3 linked regions of the Macaca fascicularis genome follow. The protein of the gene in region 1 interacts with the protein of each later gene in a pairwise test. Links are inferred from orthologs where the notes say so. Each region holds a gene or a part of one and is shown on either strand. Other genes may lie near its edges. The genes, in order: PLSCR1, CCER1 and SLC35A2.

Evidence for each region.
Region 2: the proteins of PLSCR1 (region 1) and CCER1 interact in a two-hybrid assay, tested with the Homo sapiens proteins (2 studies listed by BioGRID and IntAct). The two-hybrid records come from large-scale screens. The link is inferred for Macaca fascicularis from reciprocal best matches to the Homo sapiens genes PLSCR1 and CCER1.
Region 3: the proteins of PLSCR1 (region 1) and SLC35A2 interact in a two-hybrid assay, tested with the Homo sapiens proteins (2 studies listed by BioGRID and IntAct). The two-hybrid records come from large-scale screens. The link is inferred for Macaca fascicularis from reciprocal best matches to the Homo sapiens genes PLSCR1 and SLC35A2.

What each region holds. Positions count from the first base shown.
Region 1 is NC_088376.1:49,326,270-49,329,074, reverse strand, and holds the end of PLSCR1 (phospholipid scramblase 1), read left to right. Parts: intron 1-179; coding exon 180-341; intron 342-1,243; coding exon 1,244-1,300; 3' UTR 1,301-2,176; downstream 2,177-2,805. UniProt on the Homo sapiens protein: Catalyzes calcium-induced ATP-independent rapid bidirectional and non-specific movement of phospholipids (lipid scrambling or lipid flip-flop) between the inner and outer leaflet of the plasma membrane resulting in collapse of the phospholipid asymmetry which leads to phosphatidylserine externalization on the cell surface.
Region 2 is NC_088385.1:97,969,458-97,972,537, forward strand, and holds CCER1 (coiled-coil domain-containing glutamate-rich protein 1), read right to left. Parts: upstream 1,877-3,080; coding exon 959-1,876; intron 914-958; coding exon 611-913; downstream 1-610. UniProt on the Homo sapiens protein: Regulator of histone epigenetic modifications and chromatin compaction into the sperm head, required for histone-to-protamine (HTP) transition.
Region 3 is NC_088395.1:49,059,885-49,063,539, reverse strand, and holds part of SLC35A2 (UDP-galactose translocator), read left to right. Parts: intron 1-1,046; coding exon 1,047-1,198; intron 1,199-2,099; coding exon 2,100-2,836; coding exon of another isoform or gene 2,837-2,855; exon of another isoform or gene 2,856-3,186; coding exon 3,187-3,313; 3' UTR 3,314-3,655. UniProt on the Homo sapiens protein: Transports uridine diphosphate galactose (UDP-galactose) from the cytosol into the Golgi apparatus, functioning as an antiporter that exchanges UDP-galactose for UMP.

The sequences.
Region 1 (2,805 bases):
ACAGTTTTTTTCATATATCTATAAATAGATACCGGAGCCTCTAGTTATCTAATGAGGGTTACATGTTCATGGTTACATATGGTACATAATTTTAATACCATATTTGTTTCATCTTCAAATTTGAAAGTACTTTTGCTATAAGTTTCCTAAAAATATGTAATACTTTTTTTTCAATTTAGATTAAATCTCTTGATGAACAGTGTGTGGTTGGCAAAATTTCCAAGCACTGGACTGGAATTTTGAGAGAGGCATTTACAGATGCTGATAACTTTGGAATCCAGTTCCCTTTAGACCTTGATGTTAAAATGAAAGCTGTAATGATTGGTGCCTGTTTCCTCATTGTAAGTTTGTTCTTATTAATCTTGATTATAGATGCTTTCTCTATATGCTTTCTACTAATCATTCTGAAATGATTCAGTAAAGTGTATATTTCAAAATGACTTTTTAAAATTTATAGATTTTTAAATCAGGATTCCCATTTAATCCTAGCTCTGAAATTCTATTTGATCCTGACACTCTGGGGTGACTAGTTTCTGTCTGAAGAGTCTATGAATATTCACATGGCAAGAGAGGGACTAAGGAGGCGTACTGAGGAGAGATTTTAGTCTCCCCTTAAATCAGCCATCTCCTACATGCTTTGAAGAAATTGAAAGCGGGCATATGTGGAAAAAATTTAGTGAAACAAGGAAACTTGACCATGACTCATAGTAATTAAATTAAACCATCTAATATAGGAGTATGAACTACAGTAAGAGTGTGCATTCACTCAAGTGTGTAGACCTAACTACCAAATTACAGGAGATAATCGGATATACCAGTGATTCTGAAATTGCCTTCACATTAGAATCACTTAGGGACCTTTAAAAACTGTAAGTACTAGTCCATACCTCAGTTCAACTGAGTCAAACTTCGAAGTTCGTATAGTGCTCCAGGTGGTTCCAATATGCAGCCACAGATGAGAATTATGGGGATAGAGAAAAAGTCACATTTAGAGAAAATAACCGGAAGATTAATTAAATTCATACAGGTATCAATACATGAATAGAATTATAAAATTTATTATTAAAATGGAAAGCTAAAGGTAGAACTTATATAACTATAGAGCTTTTCTGTGTTTATTACATTTAATTTTTTTAACAGATATGTTACTGTGTTTCACTAGATCCCTTAGTATTTCTGCATCTGATCATTGATCTCTGTTTTGTTGCTGAAAATTCATTTGTATATTTTTGTTTTTATCTAGGATTTCATGTTTTTTGAAAGCACTGGCAGCCAGGAACAAAAATCAGGAGTGTGGTAGTGGATTAGTGAAAGTCTCCTCAGGAAATCTGAAGTCCGTAAATTGATTGAGACTATCTAAACTCATACCTGTGTGAATTAAGCTGTAATGCCTGTAGCTCTGGTTGTATACTTTTGCTTTTCAAATTATAGTTTATCTTCTGTATAACTGATTTATAAAGGTTTTTGTACATTTTTTAATACTCATTGTGAATTTGAGAAAAAGGGCATCTGAGTTTTTGCATTTATTAATGAAACTTCCTATAAAAAACTGCTTTGAATTATGATCTCTGATCCACTGTCCATTTTACTACCGAATATTAACTAAGGCCTTATTAATTTTTATATAAATTATATTTTAAATCTAGTTACAATTTATTTCATGCATAATAGCTAATGTTATTTTGCAAATGCCATATATTCAAAAAAGTTCAAAGATAATTTTCTTTACTGTTATGTTCAAATAATATTCAATATGTATATTATCTTTAAAAAGTTAAATGTATTTTTTTAATCTTCAAGAAATCATGCTACACTTAACTTCTCCTAGAAGCTAAGCTGTACCATAAATGATACATTCATGTTCACAAGATATTAAATTACCAGTTTTTAAATTATTGTTAAATAAAGAACAAAATAAAGAACAAAATGATTCTTGTCCAAAGAAAGGCACATTTTAAACACTCCTTCACTCTAAAACTCGTACTATTATAAATTTTGAAAGTTAATATTTATATATGAAATGTATAGCTTTTATACTCTATCCTTTCTAGAAAATGGTAATTTTCAGATGTTAATTAAATATAATATTATATATATATATATATTCACAGAAAATAAACCTAAATAATGATCTATTAGATTCAAATATTTGAAATAAAAACTTGATTTTTTTGTATATTTGACTTTTGTTTTTAAACAAAATGTGTTCAGATGGTATTTTGAACACTCATTCAGTTAAATGATGGTACATTTGAAGCAGGATATTTCCCTGACCCCTTCCTGGGACTCGAGAAGGGGTGTCTTGTTTACTCAGCCTGCCACTCTCAACTCCTCCTGGGAGGGAGTGCGCAGGCAAACAAGGCAGGAACTGGAGTGCACAAGCACTGGAACTGGCTGACCGCTTTGGCACGGGCAAGAGCAAACTCCGTGCACGCCCTGTGGTAGCAACCAGGTGCGGTTGCCTGCGATTCCTGAAGCCCCAGAAGGTGTGTTACGGTGCTCTTTTAGCTCTGCAGTCTGTGGACAGCTTAAGTGTTAACAGCTCCGTGAGCCCTTTGTCTTGTCACGTGGGACAGCTGCCCTCCACCAGCAAGGGCAAAGGGCGAGTGTTAGTGCCTTTTATATCTGCACTCATGGCTCCCAGGCTCTTGTCCGGCGTCCAGGAAAAATGTGGTCACAAAAACAACTGAAGGATGGTAAATGCGGGGATTTTATTGCTGAGGAAAGTGACTCTCAGTGGAAAAGGGAGCTGAAAAGGGGACAGTGGGGTAGGTGATCTTCCCCTGAAGTCTAGCCATCTCCAGC
Region 2 (3,080 bases), on another chromosome or scaffold:
GATCCATAGCACTGTGGAACAAGGAATATCAATAAGCGATGCCACAAGAGACTGCAAATGGGGTTAACAAAATACAGCCCTCAAAAATGAACTCTGATGGTGGAAAAATCTACGAGGTAAAATATTGTTGAAAAAAAATACAGGGATTGAAAATGGCTTCAGTTATGTTAAGAGCACTGGTGAACATTCAGCAGCGTTAGAATGTGCTTTCTTATGCATGTAACAAACTATCTCTTCATGCCAAGCTCATTAAGTGGCTAAGTTGTATAAATTTGTTCAAAAACAAACGCTTTTCCAGCATTTATAGATTTCAAAAAAAAACAGCAACTTTGTTTTCTAGTGGGGAAAACACCAGGTGAAAATATTCTAATGGTAGTAATAAAATACTTGGCCTTTAATCAGTTCCAGTAAAATTATATTTGAAAGCTCCCCCACCACCACCCATAGTCATACACATACGCATCAAATTTTAAGCATTTTATAATGGCCAAAGAAGGTGTTTACATCTGTTTATTAATGGAACTCACTTTTTAATCAGTTTTTAATAAATTGCTAATCCAGTTTAGCCTCAAATCAGTTCCATCCCTTTCCTCAATCCCTTTTCTGATGTCTAACAGTTAAAGTCCTGTGCAGTGAACAGGGATTCCTGTGGCACTTTGGGAATTATCTGCTCTGGGTTTAAAAAAGTGCAGCTTATAAAGTTCTCTCTCTTTTCTTCAGCCTCTACGAAGATTGATAAAGGCATTTCCAGAGGCAAATGAAATTCTTCCCCTCTCTGCTCGTTCTCCTCCAGGACCTCCTCTTCCCCTTCTACCTCCTCCTCTTCCTCCTCCTCCTCCTCCTCCTCCTCCTCCTCCTCCTCCTCCTCCACATATTCAGCCTCTTCGACCTCTTCCTCCTCCTCATCTTCGACCTCTTCCTCTTCCTCATCTTCCACCTCTTCTTCCTCATCTTCGACCTCTTCTTCCTCATCTTCAACCTCTTCTTCCTCCTCCTCGCTCACCTCCTTTGCATCACACACCTCCTGGTCATACTCCTCCTCATCATCATTTTTCTTCTCCTCTTCCTCCACCAGCAACGGGGCAAGAGACTGGTTTTCCTCTGATTTAGGACTGAATGCTAGAGAGGGATTCTGCACAAAGCCATACAGAGCTTCCTGCAGTCCCCAGGTTTCCTCGCTGCCGCCAGGGGGCGCGTCGTTTCCGGAGGATCTGGCCGGGGAGGCCTCGCCGCTCACCGGGGCCTTCTGCGCCCTCAGCGCCTCCTGCTGACGCTCCAGCTTCTCCTGCTGCCGCATGTCCTCGTAGATCTGGTTCATGATGAATTGGGTGGTGTTGGGCGGCGCTCGCATGCCAGGCTCTCTCCACTCGTACAGCTTGACCGGCCGCGGCAGCGTGCTCACATTCGCTGGCGGGCTCCGCGGGGAGGAGCGGCGAGGGTGGTGGCGCAGGCCGCGACCCCTGCGGCCCCAGCGCTTCTTCCTGCCTGGGGGCCTCGCCCAGCTAGGGTTCCAGGACCCGTTCCAGCAGGAGCAGCAGCAAAAGCAGAGAGGGTGCAGGCCATACACCCGAAACACTTGCACTGGGCAATGGAACTTCCGGAATCCTGGAGGGGGTGGGCGCCAGGGCCCTCCCCAGCACCCCCAGTTAAAGCACACGGGTGGTTGGAACCAAAAGCCCGGGCCGTGCTGTTGCTTCGGCTGCTTCCTTGGGGGCCCATACTCGGTCTTGGGGCTATAGCGGTGCGGCCTATTGTACACTGGAGCGCCCTGGCGCCTTCGATGGCAGGACGACCAGGAGCTCAAGGAGGCCGAGTGTGCCCAGCCACCGCCGCCCAGGTTCAGAGGGTCTTCCCTTGTGTCGAGGGTCTGAGTCATCGTTCGGGGAGCTCTGAGAGGTCTAGATGGTAGCGACCCAGAAGCTGTCGTCAAGTTTTGCCAGATAGGACGGTCAGAAGAGCCTCGTCTCGTCACCCTGTCTCTCCACGCAGTGCCACGTGTCTACCCCTGGGATCACGTTTTCTCTCCAGGAGGCCGCTCTCTTCCTGGTTTGCGAGCTCTTCGGTAGTAATCGCTTGTCCTTCGCACCTGGGTTGTCTCACCCAGGTGTGCTGGGTGGGACTGGGGCTGGGCAAGGATGGTGGGGGAGGAAGGTGTTGGCAGGCGACACGCAGTGAGACCCACTCCCGGGTCCCCCCCACACCCGGCTCTGCTGAGGCACGGGCTGGGGCCGGGGGAGGCAGGGGTTGCGCAGTTACCTGCTGCTACCTCTCAACCCAGGTGCTTCACTGTCGCCGTCCTGGCAGGACTGGGGTGGCGAGGGCAGCGGCAGCCTTTAAATACTGGCTGTGGTCTCCCGCGTGCCCACCGCGTTCTTGGTCGCCCAGGGCAACAGCCAATTGGGGTCGAAATCGTCCTCCCTGTGTGCAAGACCGGGTTCTGGCTGGAACCAGGCTCTAGGTGAACATTCGCAGGGGGCTTGTGACGTAGCGTTTGGGGGAGGCGAAGAGGGGCTCAGGCTGGGTTTGTGCTGCTCAATTCAAGCACGTCTGGAGGCAGTTTATCCGAAAGCTTTGTGTCACCTTGAGGCAGGGGTTTAGAAGATGGGCCTTCATCTGAACCCGGTGGGGGCGGGAGAACTTGAGTTTTGAAAACCCCACATTCTACACCTTTGGAGGGTAAAATGACACAAGCCAGGGTAGGGATGCCTATTTTTACATCAAGCACAAGTGTCTTTACATGTACTATATCACCTCTTTTGTATTAATGGAAAATTAATGGAAAATTACTGGAGAAAGAAAACTTGGCCCAACCTCTTACCTTCTGGCCGGTGCCAACTCTTCTTACTCCGGGGAAATGGAATTCATAATACATAAAACAAGGCCACAAACATTTATTATTGCATGTGCTTCCTGACACATAATCCTGTCATCTACCCTGAGAGGTAGGCGTATCTTATCACCTGTCACAGATGAGGGAACTGAGGGGTTAATTTCCCCATGGTTGTGGGGCTAATACATTTTCGGGCTACTATTTAAGCCTAAGCCTGTTTGATGCTAAAGTTAGATTCTTAATGGCATTG
Region 3 (3,655 bases), on another chromosome or scaffold:
GTCTAAAAGCCTATAGACTACTCCTGGTGCAGTGGCTCACATCTGTAATCGCAGAACTTTGGGAGGCCAAGGTGGGCGGATTACGAGGTCAGGAGATGGAGACCATCCTGGCTAACACGGTGAAACCCCGTCTCTACTAAAAATACAAAAAATTAGCTGGGAGTGGTGGCATGCACCTGTAGTCCCAGCTACTCGGGAGGCTGAGGCAGGAAAATCACTTGAACCTGGGAGGTGGAGGTTGCAGTGAGCCTGAGCCGAGATGGTGCCACTGTGCAAAAAAAAAAAAAAAAAAAAAAAAAGAAAAGTCTAGACTAAACTTCTCTTCTGTGTGGGAGACAGCCCTCCACCCCAGCTCCTAGGGCTTCTATTTCATAAGCTCCAAGTTAATGATGGTTATTTCTTATTTTATTTTATTTTATTTGAGATGGAGTCTCACTCTGTCGCCCAGGCTGGAGTGCAAATGGCATTGTCTCAGCTCACTGCAACCTCTGCCTCCCAGGTTCAAGCAATTCTCTTGCCTCAGCCTCCCAAGTAGCTGGGATTACAGGCACATGCCACCACACCTGGCTAATTTTTGTATTTTTAGTAGAGATGGGGTTTCCGTGTGGTTGGCTCAGCTGGTCTTGAACTCCTGACCTCATGAGCCACCCGCCTTGGCCTCCCAAAGTGCTGGGATTACAGGCATGAGCCATGGCGCCTAGCCTAATGATGGTTATTTCATTGTACAAAAATGTATTGAGTATTGAGTGCTTGCCCTGAATGGGGCTGTCTGCCAGGGAGGTAGGCTCTAACATAGTGACATGCTCTGTGATTAGCAGACACAGATGGCTGATTCTTTTGCTGCCATTAAACTGAGTCTCAGAAAAGCTAGCTGGAAACATGGTTATACCCTAGGGAAAACCAAGATCACAGACTTCATTCCAGCCCCCAGGGATTGGACAGCAGGGTGGATGGGGGAGTCACGATAGCAAGGCCTGTTCCCAGCCTTCAGGGGTTCCCCGTGTATGGCTGTCAGTGCTGAGAAGGGCTCTCCTCCTCCCACCTAGGTAACGTGAAGCACCTGGTTCTCTTCCTTCATGAGGCTGTCCTGGTGCAGTATGTGGACACACTCAAGCTCGCAGTGCCCTCTCTCATCTACACCTTGCAGAATAACCTCCAGTATGTTGCCATCTCTAACCTACCAGCTGCCACTTTCCAGGTGAGCCGCAAGCCCAGCATGGCCCCAGAGGAACTAACTGGGTTGGGGACTGGAGTATGGGAATAGCGTGGTGGGGGGATGTTGCAGAGGACAGGGGCTATGTCACCTCCAGAATGTCCTTGGAATTCCCTCAACCTTTTCTCGTCTGAAAATTGGGGGTGGAAATAGTAATGCCTGTTCACTGAGATGCTAGGATACTTAAAAGAAATAATACCTGTGAAGAGCCCTTGGTTGATGATAGATAAGCTTTAGGCTATTTGTGGGCAGCTTTGTGAAATGGTTAAAGAGCCTGGATTCTGGGAGCAGGCTGCCTGGGTTCAAATCTCAGCTCTGCTACTTTCCAGCTGTGTGATTTTGGGGCACGTCACCTAACCTTTCTGTGCCTTAGTTTTCTCATCTTTAAATTGGGGCTTACAGTGGTGCTCACTTCAGAATGGTGTTGTGAGAATTAAATGAATGAATTCATGTGCAGTGCCTAGAACCACACTGATACATTGTAAACACTATGTAAGTATTTGCTGAAATTGTTGTGGCTATTGATTCATTTGTATCAAGTCCCTCATCACAAAGATACTTCCATACCTCAGCCATCTTTTATAGATGATGATGCCAGGGCTCAGACAGGGCAAGTGCTTTGTCCCGTCACACAGCCAGGAAATAGGATTGGGATGTGGACTTCCTGGCACAGCCGTCCTTTTGTGCACTTGGTGGGAGAGACCTCAGAACTGTTTTGCTGCAGCTCAGCCAATGGCCAGTGGCTGGCTCCTTTTGCTGTTTTTGTTGTCATACCCCCCACCCTGTCCCTCCGTTGTGCCTGGGGACCCACAGTGGGTGCTGCCCCCCATATGTACCTGTTGGGGGCCAGGGTTAGCCCTCAGTGCCTTCCACGTGCCACTCGCAGGTGACGTACCAGCTGAAGATCCTGACCACAGCGCTGTTCTCCGTGCTCATGCTGAACCGCAGCCTTTCCCGGCTGCAGTGGGCCTCCCTGCTGCTCCTCTTCACTGGCGTCGCCATTGTCCAGGCACAGCAAGCCAGTGGGGGAGGCCCACGGCCACTGGATCAGAACCCTGGGGCAGGCCTGGCAGCCGTCGTGGCCTCCTGTCTCTCCTCCGGCTTTGCAGGTGTCTACTTTGAGAAGATCCTCAAAGGCAGCTCAGGCTCCGTGTGGCTGCGCAACCTGCAACTGGGCCTCTTTGGCACAGCACTGGGCCTAGTGGGGCTCTGGTGGGCTGAGGGTACCGCCGTGGCCACCCGCGGTTTCTTTTTTGGGTACACGCCTGCTGTCTGGGGCGTGGTGCTCAACCAGGCCTTTGGTGGGCTACTGGTGGCTGTGGTTGTCAAGTACGCTGACAACATCCTCAAGGGCTTTGCCACCTCCCTGTCCATTGTGCTGTCCACTGTTGCCTCCATTCGCCTCTTTGGCTTCCACGTGGACCCATTATTTGCCCTTGGCGCTGGGCTCGTCATTGGTGCCGTCTACCTCTACAGCCTTCCCCGAGGTGCAGCCAAAGCCATAGCCTCTGCCTCTGCTTCCGCCTCCGGGCCCTGCGTTCACCAGCAGCCTCCCGGGCAGCCACCGCCACCGCAGCTGTCTTCCCACCATGGAGATCTCATCACGGAGTCCTTTCTGCCGAAGTCAGTGCTGGTGAAGTGAGGGCTGGCAGCAATGGGGAACACAAGGGAGGGGGACTGGGGTGGAGGGTGTTGGGCATCTGCAGGACCCAAGTTGCCGCCCTCCGGGGCCTGGCTCCTCTGGGTTTGGGAGATGGTCTTTTCTCCCAGGTCACTGAGACTTCTGGAGGGGCGTGGGACTAGAGCTGGGTGTCACGTGAACCCTTCCTGGTAGGCTGACCCCCTTCCCCCGGTGGGGGTTTTAGAGCTGCCTCCTCTGCCCCCTCTAACCTCTTTGGAGGCAGGGTCGGGGTTATTATTCAAGGCCTTTTTTTTTGTCTGCTCCCTCCCTGACCCTATGCCCTCTTCTGGAGGTGTCTTGTCTGGGAGATTCCCTCCCAGCAGTCCCTCCACCTCCATAAGGACACACTGGACAGAACTCCGCAGCTCTTCAGGAATGACCGATGCCTACCTGTTGGGGTTCAGTTGCCCGTAGTTTGAGGCCTTCTCTCCTCCCTTACCACCGCTCTGGATCATGTTAGCAGTTCCGTCTTTTGTGTGGCCTTGGGCCAGCTTCCCTGACACCTTGAAGATGGACTTCTTGTGAGTCCCCAGGGAGAAAGGGACAAGAGCTAAGATTTTTGCATCAGCCCTTCTGGCAGAAGGTGCGGTCGGGGCCATTTGATTTTTAGTGGACTTGGGATTTGTGGTGTAATCATATCATTAATGATCCAGGGTGTGGGAAAAATGGAGGTCCTTGAAGTGGCTGAATCTCATTGTATTTAAGACACTGTCAGTTGCCAGATGCAGGGTTATTTTTGGAGACGTCTAGAGAGGAAAAAT